4 separate regions of the Mus musculus genome follow, and regions 1, 3 and 4 are each reported to be linked to region 2. Evidence: microRNA targets listed by miRTarBase, many of them from high-throughput screens and not tested one by one. Region 2 holds a microRNA gene; each other region holds the end of a gene's coding sequence.
Evidence for each region. The annotated mature microRNA mmu-miR-216a-5p reads UAAUCUCAGCUGGCAACUGUGA and lies in region 2 at 1,177-1,198, shown strand. An mRNA with a match to its seed (bases 2 to 7 or 8) in the 3' UTR can be bound and repressed. Matches are read on the target gene's strand: a 7mer-m8 pairs with bases 2 to 8, a 7mer-A1 pairs with bases 2 to 7 and ends in A, and an 8mer does both.

Region 1: the mRNA of Tcp11l2 is a reported target of mmu-miR-216a-5p. Seed matches in the 3' UTR shown: 7mer-m8 at 1,013-1,019.
Region 3: miRTarBase lists Ranbp10 as a target of mmu-miR-216a-5p. Seed matches in the 3' UTR shown: 8mer at 3,454-3,461.
Region 4: miRTarBase lists Vsx1 as a target of mmu-miR-216a-5p. Seed matches in the 3' UTR shown: 7mer-A1 at 998-1,004 and 7mer-m8 at 2,683-2,689.

Annotation. Positions count from the first base shown.
Region 1 is chr10:84,612,954-84,617,119 of GRCm38, forward strand. It overlaps Tcp11l2 (t-complex 11 (mouse) like 2), which reads left to right. Exons shown (of 10, transcript NM_146008.2): 10 at 529-1,402. The coding sequence ends at 773. It also overlaps the pseudogene Gm25657. Among named protein-coding and RNA genes, the nearest start is that of Polr3b, 7.3 kb to the right of the region's middle.
Region 2 is chr11:28,755,842-28,760,007 of GRCm38, forward strand. Mir216a (microRNA 216a) reads left to right here and starts at 1,171; the gene lies at 1,171-1,242. The region is part of intron 1 of Gm40818 (a long non-coding RNA gene); the gene reads left to right.
Region 3 is chr8:105,767,670-105,771,835 of GRCm38, forward strand. It overlaps Ranbp10 (RAN binding protein 10), which reads right to left. Exons shown (of 14, transcript NM_145824.5): 14 at 639-4,048. The coding sequence ends at 3,918. Among named protein-coding and RNA genes, the nearest start is that of Gfod2, 11 kb to the left of the region's middle.
Region 4 is chr2:150,679,413-150,683,577 of GRCm38, reverse strand. Vsx1 (visual system homeobox 1) reads left to right here. Exons shown (of 5, transcript NM_054068.2): 5 at 312-2,876. The coding sequence ends at 577. Among named protein-coding and RNA genes, the nearest start is that of Vsx1, 7.6 kb to the left of the region's middle.

The sequences.
Region 1 (4,166 bases), not on the chromosome of region 2:
TCAACCATCTCTCATTGTATAAGTTACCACTCTGTAGCCTGAGCTTTATTTATTTCTGTCTGTAGAGCAGCTAAGAAGGTCTGTGCCTCGTCAGACCTGTGGTTAGTTGTGGCTTATGTTGGTAGCCCCGTGGATCTTGGCTGGGCTCTATCAGGAGCCTGGGAAGTGGCTCACCTACAAGGCTCTCCTTAGAGCTGGGAGAGCTGGCTTCCTCTCTCTGGTCTCATCCTCCAGCCCTTGCAGCCTCATTTGCATGGGTGATGGTCAGGAAGTGGATGTCAGCCATGCGTCCTGAGGCTTAGGCATGCAGCTGCCATCCTGGCATTTCCATAACATTATACATTAGCAAAAACAGGTCACAAAGCCAGTTCAGATGTGACAGATGACAAAGTACTCTTAATCCTTAATGGGAGGAACTGTAATGCCACTTGAATACAGGCAGGGGTAAATGGAAACCTTACTGCTGATTATTAAAGGTTATGTACTTCAATAACGGAACCAGTAAAGATATCATTTTTTCCCCTTTAGATAAACGGATCCAGTTGTACATGAAAGGCCTGCTCTGTCTTCCAAGCACTCAGAAGAGCATGCCTCCTGTGCCAGGTGGCCTTGATGTCATCCAGCGGGAGCTGGAAGTGCTTGGCTGCCAGTATGCAAACATTGTGAATCTCAACAAACAGGTGTATGGACCATTTTATGCAAATATATTCCGAAAGCTGCTCTTCCGGGATGAAGCCGTGGGGAAGATAGATGCTTCACTTCCCACTAACTAAAGAGACGAGATGGAGATCAGCACTTGGTACATGGTCCGTTTCCACCAGTGGCATTGGAGATGTGGCCCATTCTCCGCCCTGTCCCTAGACTGCATCCGTGTAACCTGGTAATGGATGCTAGCACCACAGAGGGCCTCACACCCCTCTTGTGTTTAAAGCAGATAGTTTTAATGAAGAAAAGTAATTTGTAATGAATTATATTACCTATATAACATTGGTGTTTTCTTAAACATTTATATTGAGATTTTGTTGTTGTTGTTTTGGACAGTGTGTCTGTGTAACAGCCCTGGCTGTCCTGGAGTATATTGCACATTTCTATGTGACTTGTTCATTCAACCTGAAAGGAAATGATTTTTGTTTATATACTTGATTATACTGCAGCTGCCTGCAGGAATACAATGTGCAAACATTTAAAAATACATTGAAAATGAAGGGCATTCTGCTTCATTTTTTGTTAAGTGGCAAAGTAAATTTGTGTCTTGGATATGGATTTAGCCAAGTACATTTATTAGGGTTTTTTAGAATCATAGCTCTTGGCATGTTTATTTAGTTTTTACTTAAATGTTTACTTCAACTTTTGTGGCTTTCCTAACATGGTTGTTTTATAATAAAAACTTTATTAAACAGAAGACATGGTAATCTTTTCATTCTTTTATTGCTAAAACAGACTAAGTACATCTTAAAAAGTCTTTCAGCATAATCGGTGCTTCTGTTTTCTAACTCATCTTGGGATCTGGGCATTCGCTTTTTTTTTTCTTGCTTCCCTTTTTTGAGACTGGGTCTCACTCTGTGGCTTGCCTGGATTTGATATGTATATCTGACTGGCCTTGGACTCACAGAGATCTTCCTGCTTCTGCTTCCTGAGTGCTGGGATTAAAGATGCCCCAGGCCCTTTTTATTAGTTACTCTTGGCTGATTCTGTGCTGCTTCTCAGAGCTTTACAGACATGGTGTCATTACTGTTTATTCAACCCACTGTGTGTTAAGGAGGCCGTACTCTGGCAGTAGAGATACTAAAATTGAACCAAAGATTAGCATGGTCTCTACACAAGGAGGATATGAAAATCCCTGAGACCATCTGTATTTTAAAACAAAATAAGCCATATCTGGAAAATACCATCTTTCTCTCTCTCATGCAGAACCTGTGTATATACTGAAGACATAAAAGGAGGAGGACTATTCAATGAAATTAAAGAGGACGGGAGTCATGGGACATGGGGAGGAGGGTGAGAGAGTAATGGAAGCATCAGTGTGATCAAATCATATTACAGACATGGATGGAAATGTTATCATGAGCCAGGCATGGTGGTACAATCTGTGTAGTACAAGCATCCAGCAGGCTGAGGTAGAAGGATCCCAAGACAAGGCTAGCCTAAGCTGCAGAGACTGACTAACACTTCCACATTGCTGTTCATCACCAAAAGAAGTCAGGACAGGAACTCATTCACACAGGGCAGGGACTTGGAGGCAGGAGCTGATGCAGAAGCCATGGAGGGGTGCTGCTCACTGGCTTGCTTCTCCTTGCCTGCTCAGCTTGCTTTCTTATAGAACCCAGGAGCACCCGCCCAGGGATGGCAACACCCACAATGGGCTGGGCCCTCTCTCCTTGAACACTAACTGAGAAAACGCCTTACAGCTGGATCTCATAGAGGCATTTCCTCAAGGGAGGCTCCTTTCTGTGTGATAACTCCAGTCTGTGTCAAGTTGAAACACAAAACCAGCCAGTACAGAAGATAATTCTTGGGTAGCGGGTGGGGGAACACGACTCTTGGTCCTGAAATCACAATCTTGTATGTGTGGTGTGTGTGTATGTTCACTTGAGTGAATCTGGACCAAGTATCCAGACCCTAAGTGGTGAGGCTGAAAGGAGGAAGTAGTTGATTCTATTCCTGGGGCCCCACGGAAGTAACACTCTTGTGTAGAGGAATGGCATGGGATGAATGCTCCCAGCCTGCTAGCTCTGAGGTGACTGAAGGATATCTGGGAATCCCAGCATACTGGGGCAAAGAGTGAACATACTTCCTCTTCAGAGAATCCTGATGTCTGCCAAGTAAGCGACATGTCTGAGGAAGTGGCCTTCATGATCCTTTTCTCATGAGAAAGTAACTTTGTTTTTAATTATAAGACACAACACATCAAAAAACGTTGGACTGCTGGCAGATTTCTCAGTCTGTAAGGGGTTTGGGTCACTGAACCCAGATAAGCTATTGTTAAGGGAACAGTACCTGGTGAGAACTGGACACTGGGAAATCTCTATTCTGCTCTGCCTTTAAAAGAAGCTGACACTTTGAATAAAGTGTGCGTTGGCTGACTTGGCTGTGTAACCCCCGTGTCTTGTTAATGCAGCTCTACCCTTGGGACCCAACACACTAGATGGCTGTTGGCATTCCTTTTTATTTGTTTGTTTTTTGTTCTTTTGTTTTTTCGAGACAGGGTTTCTCTGTATAGCCCTGACTGTCCTGGAACTCACTTTGTAGACCAGGCTGGCCTCGAACTCAGAAATCTGCCTGCCTCTGCCTCCTGGGTGCTGGGATTAAAGGTGTGCGCCACCACGCCCGGCTCAGCATTCTTGTTCTAAAAAAGTAGTGTAGGTCTGAGACCACAAAAAAAAAAAAATCCAAGTTTGAATTCACCTCAGCGATCCCATAGCTATGAGTTCAAGCCATCTTTTAACCTTCATGAAGCAGTTACCTAACCTGCCTTTCCAGCAGACCTCACAGGATGAGGCTCGATCGAGATGTGTTTGAATGGTGTCATGGCTATCCCTGGTTGTCAACTTGACTCTATCTAGAATGATCTATGATCCAGAAATGGAGGGCACACCTATGATCCAGACCTTGAGAATGGAAGACACAGGTTTCTGACCTATATCTTGACCTGGAGATCTTGAAGCAGTGGCCATGAAAAGCTTAGGCCCAGGCAAGGTAGTACATGTCTTTAATTCTAGGAGACTGAGGCAAGGAGATTTCTGAGTTTAAGGTCAGCCTCAGACAAAGCAAGTTCCAAGTCTAGGCATGGTGGGACACACCTTTAACCTGGGCCTCACCTCCTGCTGGAGACCTACGTAAGGACATTGGAAGAAGGAAGACTCACCTCTTCACTTACTTGACAGCACACCTGTTGGAACCAATTCTACAGAAGACCAGCCTCATGGGACTGAACAACTACTACTTTTGGACCTCACATTCACAGCTGCTCATTGTTGGGTTAGTTGGACTGCAGACTGTAAGTCATCTCAATAAATTCCCTTAATATAGAGAGATATTCCGTAAGTTCTGTGACTCTAGAGAACCCTGACTAATACAAATGGTCTGCCAAGTACAGCATGATGTAGCCAGCATACATTACTAGTAACTGTAATTTATGAGTCCTAAATCTCTTTCAAGCTTCAAGG
Region 2 (4,166 bases):
CATTTTTTACTTAATGTTTATTAAAAGTCAGGTATATCAATGCTGAGAGTTTGAACATTTAAAAAGGTATGTACATACCTTCCCCATATAGAAGTTCACAGCCTGATAATGTGTAAGTCAGAAAAGATCACTGTGTTTAACAAGTGCAGAAATAGAAATTACAAACTCAAAGGGATGGCCAGCAAAAGAGACCAGAGAGAGAAATCAGTGCCTGGCATTTTTCGTTGTATGTCCTCTGCACAGCTGCCCAAGTATAGGCTAAAGCAAGGAGAGAAGAAGAGAAAAATATCCCAGGTGGACCAAAGACAGAACACAGACCTTCAGATTCTGGGCATTTTGAGGATTTTGTTTTGGATGGAGGTGACTGGGTGGGAGAAAACAAATGGTCTGGTTTGAAAGCAAGCTAGTGAGAAAGGCAGGGAGAATTCCTACCAAAGTACAAACCAGATCCCCCAACCAGAAACACTGAATCAAAATCTCTAAGTGGGTCTTATTTGTAATGTTCTCCTCTTATGCTATCCAAACCAAATGGTGGAGACTCTCTGAAGCTATTCCCTCTCGTGTTCTTTTTTGATCATTATGTCTACCATTGATCAGCCTCGTCCACTGAGCTAAAAGGAGCTGCAGCTCATGGCCCAATCTCACTGAGCCATAATAACATAGCATAAGCAAACAAGGAGGACACAGAAATCCCTAACCACAAGCCAGATGTCCCTTGTCACACCTGACCATCGGTGAAGTCATTCTTTGCTTTGACTTATGTAATTGCTAGTTCCCTTGTCTGAGGAAGCTTTTGAGTTTTTGCATTTCTAAATTCTTTATAGATCTTGTTTTAGAATGTCTCTTGGGTAAGTGGTTTTAGAGACATTGGTGTCTATTCACACTTGATAGTGTTTGTATAAACATTAAGTCATGGAAATCCTTTCTTAATACAAAGATGCTTTTATGATATAACATACAAGACTATCTATACCAGAAACCTGTGAAAATAAATTTTAGTTCAGCAATAGTTTGTTCAGTCTCATCAAGAAAAGTTCAGAGAACTCCATGTGATTTTAGCACCAGGTCATTACCTTGTACATTCAGGAAACAGACACAGTTCTACCTAGAGCCTCCAAGCACCTCTGATCACAAGAATTTTCTTGCAGGTCCAACCTGGATGGCTATGAGTTGGTTTAATCTCAGCTGGCAACTGTGAGATGTCCCTATCATTCCTCACAGTGGTCTCTGGGATTATGCTAAACAGAGCAATTTCCTTGACCTTGTGGACCCAAAGATGATCATGACAACCTGAATCAGAACACCAAAATTGAATTTCATGCAGACCTATGAGAGTTACTGTCTGTCCTCAACCTCTTCTAAATCTTACTGATGCTTTTCTAAAATGTTTCTTTGTCTGGAAAAGAAACTAGCTGGAATTCACTTCTACTTATAATGCACTTGCTGTGTTATTTGTTGTTTTATATTTCACTTTAAAATTCAGCAACAATGTGGCGATTTCAGAAGCTGAACACAAAGTCCTTTCTCTGTGAAAGCCCCTTCCACTTCCTTTGTGGATACTTGTCCATCAAATTCTAGGTAATCAATCTAGGCATTCCTTGAGGACCTCCTGTGACCTCAGCTCTTCAGAATACATTTAATCCCCCTTCCTAATTCTCTATAAATGCCTTACATTCAACAGTCCTGATGAATACTAGTTACGGACAAACTGCAGAGCAGACTGAGACTTACATAAGATGCTTGAGCCTCTGTCCAACTCTAATCCTTGTTGGTCCTCAAAACAGATATGAATCCCTTCACTTGGCAAAAGCATTGAGCCTCAATGGTCAGCTAGCTTAGCTGAATTGGTGAGCTTCAGCTCAGTGAGAGATCCTATTTCAAAAAAATAAGACCAAGAATAAATGAAGAGGACACCTAACTTTGACACATAAAATCACATGTGCATGAATAACCACATATTCATGTGCATACACATAAACATGTACATAAATATCTATATAAATAAACATACTTTAATAACATAAAAGTGAAAAAAATTTTCAAGGTTGAGATTCAAGACCAGTTCTCTTTATTAATCCACTAACATCAAACAAATCAAATGAAACAAATTTGTAGTTAAGGATATGATCAACTTTTATTTCAAAAATTATTAAGAATGTTTCAGAAGTTTTGAGTGGCATATATTTTTCTTGAATGCCCACAGAAAAAGAAGCCGGTATGCCTCAACCTGATTAAGTTACATTTATGTATCAAAACAAATTAATATGACCTATAATTTTTGCAACATATAAGGATGAATAGAAAGTAGTCAGTAGAAGAACTAGTTATTTTCAAAGAGTGAACTCTAAACTCTAAGTGATAATGTAACTTACCTATTGTATAAAGACCTTTCATATTTAAAATCTGCAGTGTCATTAGACTTTTGTAAAGTGCCAACATTTTCCAAATAATATATAATCATACTAGTTAAAATAACCCTTCCCCACAAAAAAAAATGTTAAAGAATTGCTGTTCTTCAACAATATGAATTAACCAGTACCCCCAGAGCTCGTGTCTCTAGCTGCATATGTAGCAGAAGATGGCCTAGTCGGCCATCACTGGGAAGAGAGGACCCTTGGTATTGCAAACTTTATATGCCCCAGTACAGGGGAATGCCAGGGCCAAGAAGCAGGAGTGGGTGTGTAGGGGAGTAGGGCAGGGGGAGGGGATAGGGAACTTTTGGGATAGCATTTGAAATGTATATAAAGAAAATATCTAACATAAATAAATAAATAAAAACAAAAAAAACAAAAAGAATTGCTGTTCTTGCTAACATTTTCACAAAGAAAAGAAGATGGGTGTAGTTCAATGGGATAAATAACTTTTCAAAACAGTTGCTATGGCCTGAGTGTCAGCATCAGCATTTTCTAGTGTGTCAGTATCACTGGTGTATCATTGCTGTTTTAGATGTCTGCAGCACTGTCTGCACACAGAGGTCTACCACATGTAGCCTTGATCAGAGTGCCTGGAAAGAGGGTCCGCACACCACTATAAAAGAGACACCCGAGGAATTCAAATGTGCAATCTGAAACAAGGATCACTGAGTCTGGGCACAAGAAAGTTGGGGTCCAGTGAGTTGAAATGGAAAAAAATACTCAAGAAATGAGACTGAAGAAGATAGGTGGGGATGGGGATTGATGAGGATGCTGGGTTTCAGCGTGAGTGACTTGAGAAGCAATCAGAGGCTTTCACTGAAAGTAGCATATTTGTGATAGAATTTAATTAAAGAGGCTTTTCTTGGCACCTAATAATTTGTAAACTCTAAAGAAACACAAACATGGTGAATTTCAATAACTTCCTTGTAACTTTATGAATATAAAGCCAACTGATCAAGAGCCCTAACTCCTGTAGATCAACTTATCAGAGACCCCTTGTTAAAAACAAAAACAAAAAACAAAAGAAAAATGCCAATAACAATGGCACCCAACCTTTTGTAAGTTTCATAATTCTAGAACTGAATTCTGAGATTAATTGCCATCAAAATATGTGAGTGATTTGGCACTTCTTTCTGTGAAACTCTCCAAATATTGTAAGGTTTGGTTCATTCAAGCCAGTACTCAGCACATTGAAGTTCAATGAGGTACTGGAGACAAGGGTCTGCATTGCTCACTGTCTGAGAACTTATTAGAAATTCTGGGAATAAGCCCTCACTATTCTAGCTCATCACTGCACCAACAGCATGGTTTGAGTTTCTCTCTCTCCACCCATGATGTGGAAGTTATTCAAGACAAAGTAAAGGCTCTCTCTCTCTCTCTCTCTCTCTCTCTCTCTCTCTCTCTCTTTTGTTTTGTTTTGTTTTTTTTTTTTGAGACAGGGTTTCTCTGTGTAGCCCTGGCTGTCCTGGAACTCACTCTGTAGACCAGGCTAGCCTCGAACTCAGAAATTCACCTGTCTTTGACTCCCAACTCTTAACTAAGCCACAGACACTCTTCAGGCCTTGGATCTAATAATGCCTCCGATTTGAGGCTAAGTTCTCTTTCTGCCCAGAGTAACCAGTTGTATGATAGTAATTCTCTAGCCCCTGGTTGCTGCTTAACCATGGCCCCAACCTCACTGAGGCTCTGGATGTTATTCACATCAAACCCCACCTCTAGGCCAGGAATTACACTTGCAATCCACAGTGGTCA
Region 3 (4,166 bases), not on the chromosome of region 2:
CCCACTTCAATTGGTGATTCAGGTCCAGTTTACGCAGCCACGCTGAAGAGACTTCATGGATCTAACTGCTGACATTTCTAGATGAAATCTCACAGCAAACTTCCTGTTCCTCTGGCCCTTACAATTTTCCTGCCCCTTCTTCCACTATGACCCTAGATAGAGCCTTAGGTGGCAGATTTGTGGCATCCATCAGTTGAGACTGAGCCCTATTTCATCTTTGAAGGAAAAGAAGACACAATTGATAGCCCACATTTCTTTTTTTGTTTTGTTTTTTGTTTTTTTTTTTTTGTTTTTTTTTTTTGTTTTTGTTTTTGAGACAGGGTTTCTCTGTGTAGCCCTGGCTGTCCTGGAACTCACTCTGTAGACCAGGCTGGCCTCGAACTCAGAAATACGCCTGCCTCTGCCTCCCGAGTGCTGGGATCAAAGGCATGCGCCATCACGCCCAGCAATAGCCCACATTTCTGAAGTTGAGTTTGTTTTTTCCATGTCTGAGAACAATTTCAATCGAGAACAGCTCAAGTCCCTGTCCCTTTTGGAGTCTTGTAAAGTTGAAAGTTGACATTTCAAAAGTCCCCGAGGTACCAAGAGGTAGGGCCTCCCAACCCCAACTCCAGTAAGATTCTGAACAACAGACACAATTGCTCATGGATGTGTATTTTAATAAAAATAATTCTGTCAAAATACAACAGGAATCTTTTCATCTCAAGTACAATTTACTAGGATGTTTGTGTTGGAATTCTGTCAACCCTCTCACACCACAAGTTTCATGCTAATGCCGAATATCAACTTGCAAGGACAAAGGCAGAGCCAGTGTGCACACTGTGGAGGATGCCAGTTTCAGCTGTAGTTGATAATGGAGGGAACCGATGCAAAGAGGTGGGCACTGGGACAGCCAGAAGCCACCATCTGGCCACAGGTCCAAATGCCTGTGATTGGTGGTGAAGTAGGGCTTTGCTGTCCAGCTGCCGAATGACATGCATACCTGAGTTGTGAGCAACCAAAGGAACGTTCAGCCCCAACAGTCCTCTGCCTCATCTTTGTGCTTAAGGACTGGGAAGGTGCTGGGTAGCCAGGCAGTCCTTACTTCTTTAGTTTGTGATGTTCTGCACCCAGTCTGCACCTAGCCACAGACCCTCAGAGGAAGGGATTGGGGGAGAGGGACTCTGAGTCATCCGCCAACTTGGCCCTTGCTCTGCAAGGAGCTGCCATCTGTGCCTCCTAGGGAAAGTGAGCTAGGAAATGCTGCTACCTCAGGACTGGACAAACCCAACCCGGCCAGGTCCTCCTTTTGCACACCAGGGTCAGGTCCAGCTCTTTGCTAAGTTGCTTCCAGGAACTGCTCCTCACTCCAGATTCCTGGAAATGGGCTAGTGGAATTGGGGGTGCATACAGGTCTCCTCTGGCAGCAGGACTGGACTAATTACTGGCTCCAGCAGCTTGATTTTGGCCCTCCCCACAGCTTGTGGAACAAAGGCTTATGTCCCCAAAGTGAGCTGTCCAACTAGGACAGAAAGCCTCTCTGGAGAGGAACAGAGTAAACAACTTGGACTCAGCTGAAACAGTGAGATAAGGCACAGAATTAAATGGGGAGGTGGCCATGGGTACTGAGTGTGAGCCAGGTGGACATACAATCCCGTGCAGCACACAGCAGTCCCAAGCCGTCCAAGGCCCTCTCAGCCACTCCGCAATCCACGTCTCAGCACCCATCCCTACCCGTCACACCACGAAAGGTGCCAGCTGCTCAGGCACTGCTGAACTCACGCCAACCTAACCCCTTACAAAGCTCATTTGCCATTTTGCTTTAGGTCACGACAGGACTTGTCTAACCCACAGGAGTAGTTAGTCCTGGTTCTGCCACTATTTGCTGTGTGGCTTTGGTCAAATCACTTAATTTCCTGGACCTGTTTCTTTCACTGTAAAAGGAGAGGACTGGTGGAGAGGTTCTCTAAGTTCCACTGCTCTGCAAATGCCTCTGGTTTTCATTTCCAAATGTAAGGCCCATCCATTGTTAACAGCCTGATATTTCCAACCTGAGCTTGGAGCTTGGGTGTCCCAGCCTTGGACAGGATGAAATTTCCTTTACATAGGACAAGACCTCCTGAGGAGCTGTAAACTAAGGCCCTGACAGGAACCAGGAAAACATAGTAGCCTGTAGGATTAGACCCTAAAGCAAAATTTTGGAGGATCTCAGTCAAGGCCCTACTTCCTCACTGACAGATGGTCTAATTCAATTTTGTCCAGCTGTGGGCCTTGTGAGGACTGGTGGGCACAGAACATCTCGAGCTCTGCCATTGATTTCTGTGTCCACCAGCAGAACAAAAGCTTCCCCTGCCCAGATGCACTTGGAGACTGGAAACTCACTTGTGGCTTTGCCACAGTTGACCCTAATCTTTGCAGAGGTTGCCTAGGCTTTTCACTCACCCTGTGAAGCAGGTAAAATCCTGGCCCTCCTAGGTGTCCTCTGTATAGACCCTCCTCTTCCTTGGTAGACAGTCCCCTCCACAGATGGCCTACTCATGTCCTGGCAGCATCTCAGCCCTGGGATAGTGGGTTTTGTTGTTGCTGTTGTCCCGCCAGCTGTGAGGATCCTGTGAAACAGCTGGTGGGACATATGTAAGGCCCATGGAGTCCCCCCTTCCTAAGAGTCGCTGGGGCCACGCTGTAGGGAGCAGCCTTCCTTAAGCTGTAGGGAAATCCGGATCAGGAAGTCAAGGGTTCCATCCACTCTGGGACCAGTGATCCAAGAATCAGTCTCCATGAGGTACCAACTTCTCCACAGAAAGCATCAATCCCATCAGGGTTGGGCAGTGATGGTGAAGACTCTGGCAGGAAGAAAAGAGCCCTGTCCTTAAGGGCCTCTGTCTTGGGAATGGCTTCCTCTTGGCAGCCTGGCACACAGCAGCTCTTGGGATGAAGGCAGGTAGTTTCCAGGCAATCAACTGAGAGTAATGAATTATTTGGCCATCTTAACAAGGGAAGGCAGGCATTGAGATGGGAGAGAGGGGCAAGGCAGGCAGTGAGAGGCAGGGTAGAGTGGTAGACAGCATGCTGGCTACGGACCCTGTGTTCCCTTGCTTTGCTGTGTGCCCCTGGCCCACCTCACTTCCCTGAATCCCTGAACCTGCAGTTCTTTTGTTTACCTATAGGGGGCCTAGAGACCCACACCTCTTGGGATGCTGCAAAACAGCTTAGTCTGACCTTGCCCACCAAACAGCCTTCCCCAAAACCCATATTTCCTGGGCAGCAGCTGAACCTGAGGCTCAACAAAAGGGGAGCCTAAAATAAACAAATCACTTGATTGAAGTGACAAGAGATGATTCTTTTTTAATGAGTTGGACTCAAATAAAAACACATGGTGTCTGGACAGCCTCACCCAAGAGGTGCTGGACCACTAGTGCTACGATAAATACTGTGACTTTTTTTTTAATATATATTTATATATATATATATATATAATCTCATTTGTTTGTTTTTTTACTTATGAAAATAATAAGCTATCATCAACCTGGATAGGCTTCATTACTAAGTTAGCAGACACCAGCTCAGCACAAACTCTCCCGAGATAAACACTGGTGGCTCAGTCAGGAGGAAAAAAAAGTTAAAAAAAAAAAACACAAGATCAAAAACAAAAAAAAACCAACCTCTCCTCAAAACAAAATCTCCTTTAAAGGAGAAGCTACCACATGAGTAACCAGCCAATACTGAGTCACAGGTCGCTGCACGTGGAAGGGGACAGGGAGGAGAGGACAAGGGAGGGAGGGAGGAAGGGAAGGAGAAAAGGAGGATGGACCGGCCAGGTAGGAAGAGTGAACTCTGCCCATGGCTTCCAGGTCTCTGTACCAGATGCCTACGGAGGACAGGGCTGCTCCAGCCCTAGGGCTGAAGGAGGGCCAGCCAGAGCCAGCCAGGAAGGTCTGCTAGTGCAAGTAGTCATCGACTCTGGCAAAGGAGCAAGATCCCAGGCCTGCTCGGGCCATGAGCCGTAGACATTCAGATGCCTGGCCCAGGGCGAGCATCAAAGGAGGCTGCTTTGGCAGGTTCTGAGACTCTGTGGAAGAGATAACAAGGTATGGTCAGTACCTAGCCAAGGACTTGGGCACAGGTCAAAATTCCTAACGATGGAGGGTGGAGTTAAAACTATGGGCAGGACTCTGGGAAGAGTGTCA
Region 4 (4,165 bases), not on the chromosome of region 2:
TTTCAAACTCTAATATTGGGAGTTAGCTACCTGGTCGCTCTCCTCTCGGCCCCAGAGGAACACTGGGAAGAACATTTTAGACAGACTGAAAGAACAGCGATCAAGAAGGAATGTACCTAACTGCTGAATTTAAAAATATTTTTGAGCCTGGTGTGGTGGCACATGCCTTTGATGTGTCCGAGGTCCCTGTGCATTTGAGGTGAGCCTGGGGTACATAGCAAGATCCAGGACAGTCAGGACAACATAGAAAGACCCTGTCTCAAAACAAAACAAAATTTTTATTGTTGTTGGCTTTCCTTTTTGTTTTCCAGGGATGCATAAAAAGTCCACAGGGATGAGAAAACCAGAAAGTGAAGACAAGTTGGCAGGACTCTGGGAGTTTGACCATCTCAAAAAGGGTGCTAATAAGGATGAGGATGGACCTGAGAGGGGGCCAGACGAAACAACCCAGAACCCTGAGAATAGCTTGGAGGATGTGGCCATTGACCTGTCCAGCTCTTCCAGGCAGGAGACTAAGAAAATGCCCCCAGGGTCCAGTACTCAGCTGCCCCAGCCCCCACAGGTGGGAGCCTCATGAGACTGACAGATTGCGTCCCCCAAAGCTGGACAAACACCTTCAGTTTGATTTTCTCTCTGAAATGTCTGGATAAAAAGCAACACTACAACACTGAATAAACAATGACGTAGGGAAAGTTCCCTTTAGTTCTAGAGTGGGGAACATTCATACCACCTCTCAAGCCAGTCAGTTTGGTCTAAAATCTTGTTTTTCCTTAGTGGAATCTGAACATGGAAGGTTTGAAGTTCAAAGAAAATTTTAGGGATGGGGTATGACGTCGCTTAGTTAATAGTACACAAGAAGGCCTGGATTCAATACCCGGCACCACTCAAACCAGATACAGTAGCACGCACCTGCAATCCCAGCACTCAGGGGGCGGAGACAAGAGATCAGATGTTCAAGAGCATCCCAGAGAGAGAGAGAGAGAGAGAGAGAGAGAGAGAGATTATTACTCCCTAGCATTATTTAAGATGTGGTTCAGTCATTAAAGAGGGCTGGTCTGACCTCCTCACTCTAAGTTAGAATATTTGGTTTGGTTTTGGTTGAAATGGGTTCTTGCTGTGCAGCCCAGGCTCGCTTCATTTTCATGATCTCCTGCCTCAGTCTCTCTAGTGCTGGGTTACAAGTGTGAATATAATTGTTATACCATCTCTAGGCTTCAGAGGAGTGAATGAATGAATGAATGAATGACTGCTATATTACCATTCCTTGAGCTGGGTCTAGGACATCTCTGTCTTTGTGATAGGTGATAATTTTGTGTTCTCAGTCACTTGATGGGCCTTGAATATTCGAGGTATAAACAACAAAGAAAGCCACAAGCCCCTCCTTCTCTGAAGTCACCTGGAGCCATGTTTAAGCAATTGTTAAATATCTGGAGACTGTCTGAAGGTCAGACCCAACTTCTTGGTCTTTTTGAATTTATGTTTGAAAGCACTTTAGTAACTTGGATTCATGAATGTTGTCTTCCCTGTATTTCTTTTGCCATTTATTTGTTATTTAAAAATAAATGTGTCGTGTGTCTGGCTCAAAGCTACTTCCTGGCCCCTCAGTAGGCTCTCCCCTTATGCCCCGTTTTAGTCTGGAAACATGCCGAGCAAGCTGTCTTTCAGCCCGCAGAACTTAGCACAGGGTCTGTGTCATGTACTGTGTGGCAGTAGCCCTGGCTTTTGGAGTTCAGAGGCTGAAGAAGGGTTGTCTGTTTTGGGCAGCTTCCTCTGCAGATTATCTCAGGAACCCATCAAGTTAGGCTGTCCCCACCTTCACCCTAGTCTCTTTAGATAAGAAAACGGGCAGTCTCTTCCTTTAGTCTAGGTTTGTCCTATGTTAGTTCCATAGTGTTACACTCTATATCAATGAAGTATTAACCCTGTGAGATGATGGTGAAATGTTGCTAGGTGAGAAGCCCTTAGAGGGGGAAAGAGATAAGAGGAAATAAAGATGTTTAAAGTACACTGAAAATAAAATAAATAATATTCGACAACTGGTTCGAAATAAACATGTGAACAATGGGCAAAAGTCTCTGAAACATTCTAAGGAAAACAGAGATAACAAAAATGGTGTGGGGCATATGTAACAGATGTGCAGCTGGGTCTTCACGTGGGACTCCTAAAGCAGGAGCAGGGGCCGTCTCTGACCTCATTGCCGTCCTTTGGATTCCCCCTCCCCTAACTGCACCTCAGCTCACTGCAGCTCAGCGTGCCAAGCCTGGCTGATATCCATGTGAGGTGTCCCCTCTTCTGAGAAGAAGGGGAAGGGGCTGGGGGTGGGGAGGGGAGAGGAAAGGGAGGAACTGGGGGGGGGGAGAGAAGCTCTCGATCAGGATGTAAAGTAAATTAATAAGTAATGGGAAAATGGTGTGAGAAAAGAGGAAAGCTATATATTTGTGTGTGTGTATATATATATATGTATATATATTTTTCTTTTTTTCCCTTGACTTTTGCTATGTTACCCAACCAGCGATCCCTCTGCCCCAACCTCCACAGTAGCTGGACCACAGTTTTGTGCCACTGTGATCCCGCAGCTAAAACTGTGTTAAATATGTAAGAAAAGCACTATAGCTCAGTGTGCTGGTATTTGGGAGGCTGGGCCAGAGGACCTCAAGTTCCAGGTTAGCCTTTGCTACAGAGTGAGATTTTTTTTTCCTCCCAAGACAGGACCTCACTATAGAGCTCCGGTTGTCTTAGAACTCACTGTGTACCAGGCTGGCCTCTGCTTGGCCTTTGCTTCTTAAGTGCTGCGATCAAAGGCCTGGCCATGAGATCTTGTTTTTTAAAAAAAAAAAAAAAACAAATAAAATAAAAATCACTATTCACAACTAAAATAACCAGTATGTTCATTAATTTGTTTTAAAACTCTTCAGAACTTGGGCTGGGGAGCTGGTGGTTTAGAGGACTCACTGCTCTTTCAGGGGACCTGGGTTCAGCTCTCAGCACTCACATGAAAGCTCACAACTACCTGTAACTCCACTGTGGGTGATACAATGCCCTCTTTCTGCTTTTGTGGGACCTGGGAATGTGTGAAGGGTACAGACTTATAAGCAGACCAAATACCCCCATACTAGAACAAAATAAAATAATAACAAAATTCAAACCCATACGCTTTTATTAGGGAAAAAAATCTACAAATGGCACTTTTTTCCCCTTAGGTAATGCATACCACTAGCACTAAATCAGCAAAAGCACAAAATATTAAAGATCATTAAGCAAGGAATCCATAGAGCATTGTACTACAATATGGCTGTGGATCGATGGTTAAGCCACACCTGAATTCTTAAAAGTTCAACAAAGCATTTTAATGGTACAGACATTGCTCTGGTACACAGAAAAAAGGTAAGAAGATTTCTAACGCTAACATCATCCTAATTCTAGAACCCCCAAAGTCGATACACCCACCTCCCAGCTCTATTTAGCGCCATAAATGGAAGTGTGAAATGTGCAAATAATTCTCAGTGTTTACAACCCAACAGAAGGCCAGACATGCTCTTTGTATGCCGGTCTACACCAAGCACACAAAGGTATTTTTTTAATATTACACATAACCTGGCAATGCTAAGGTATTTTGATGTTATGAAGGAAACTGCTTACACATTTATTAGCATCTCAGACTGTACAAGAAGGTTATATTGATAGATATTGAAAACACTGAAGAGGAAGGAGCTGAGGAGACCGCTTAATGGATAAAATGTTTGCTGTGCAAGCATGAGGTCTGAGGTTTGGATCCCCAGAATCCATGGAAATGCTAGACAGGCATGGTGGTCTGCCTGTAATCCAACCCAGGAGGCAGAAGTGAGGGACCACCAGGGCAAGCTGGCTAGTTAGAGCAGCCATAATTGGTGATCGGTAGCTTCAGTGAGAGGCCCTGCCTCAATAAATAAGTGGGGAACAATAGAGGAAGATGCCTAACATTAATTTTAAGTCTGTGCCTACACATACACACACACACACTACATACACACACACTACATACACACACACTACATACATACATATGTCCATGGGAACCTCCCTTACAGGTGCACTCCCACACATGTAAGTGCATAGACAGGAACTCACACCACACAAAGGTATCCACAGAAGAAAGGCACTCAGTAAATGAAACATCAGGCTCCTA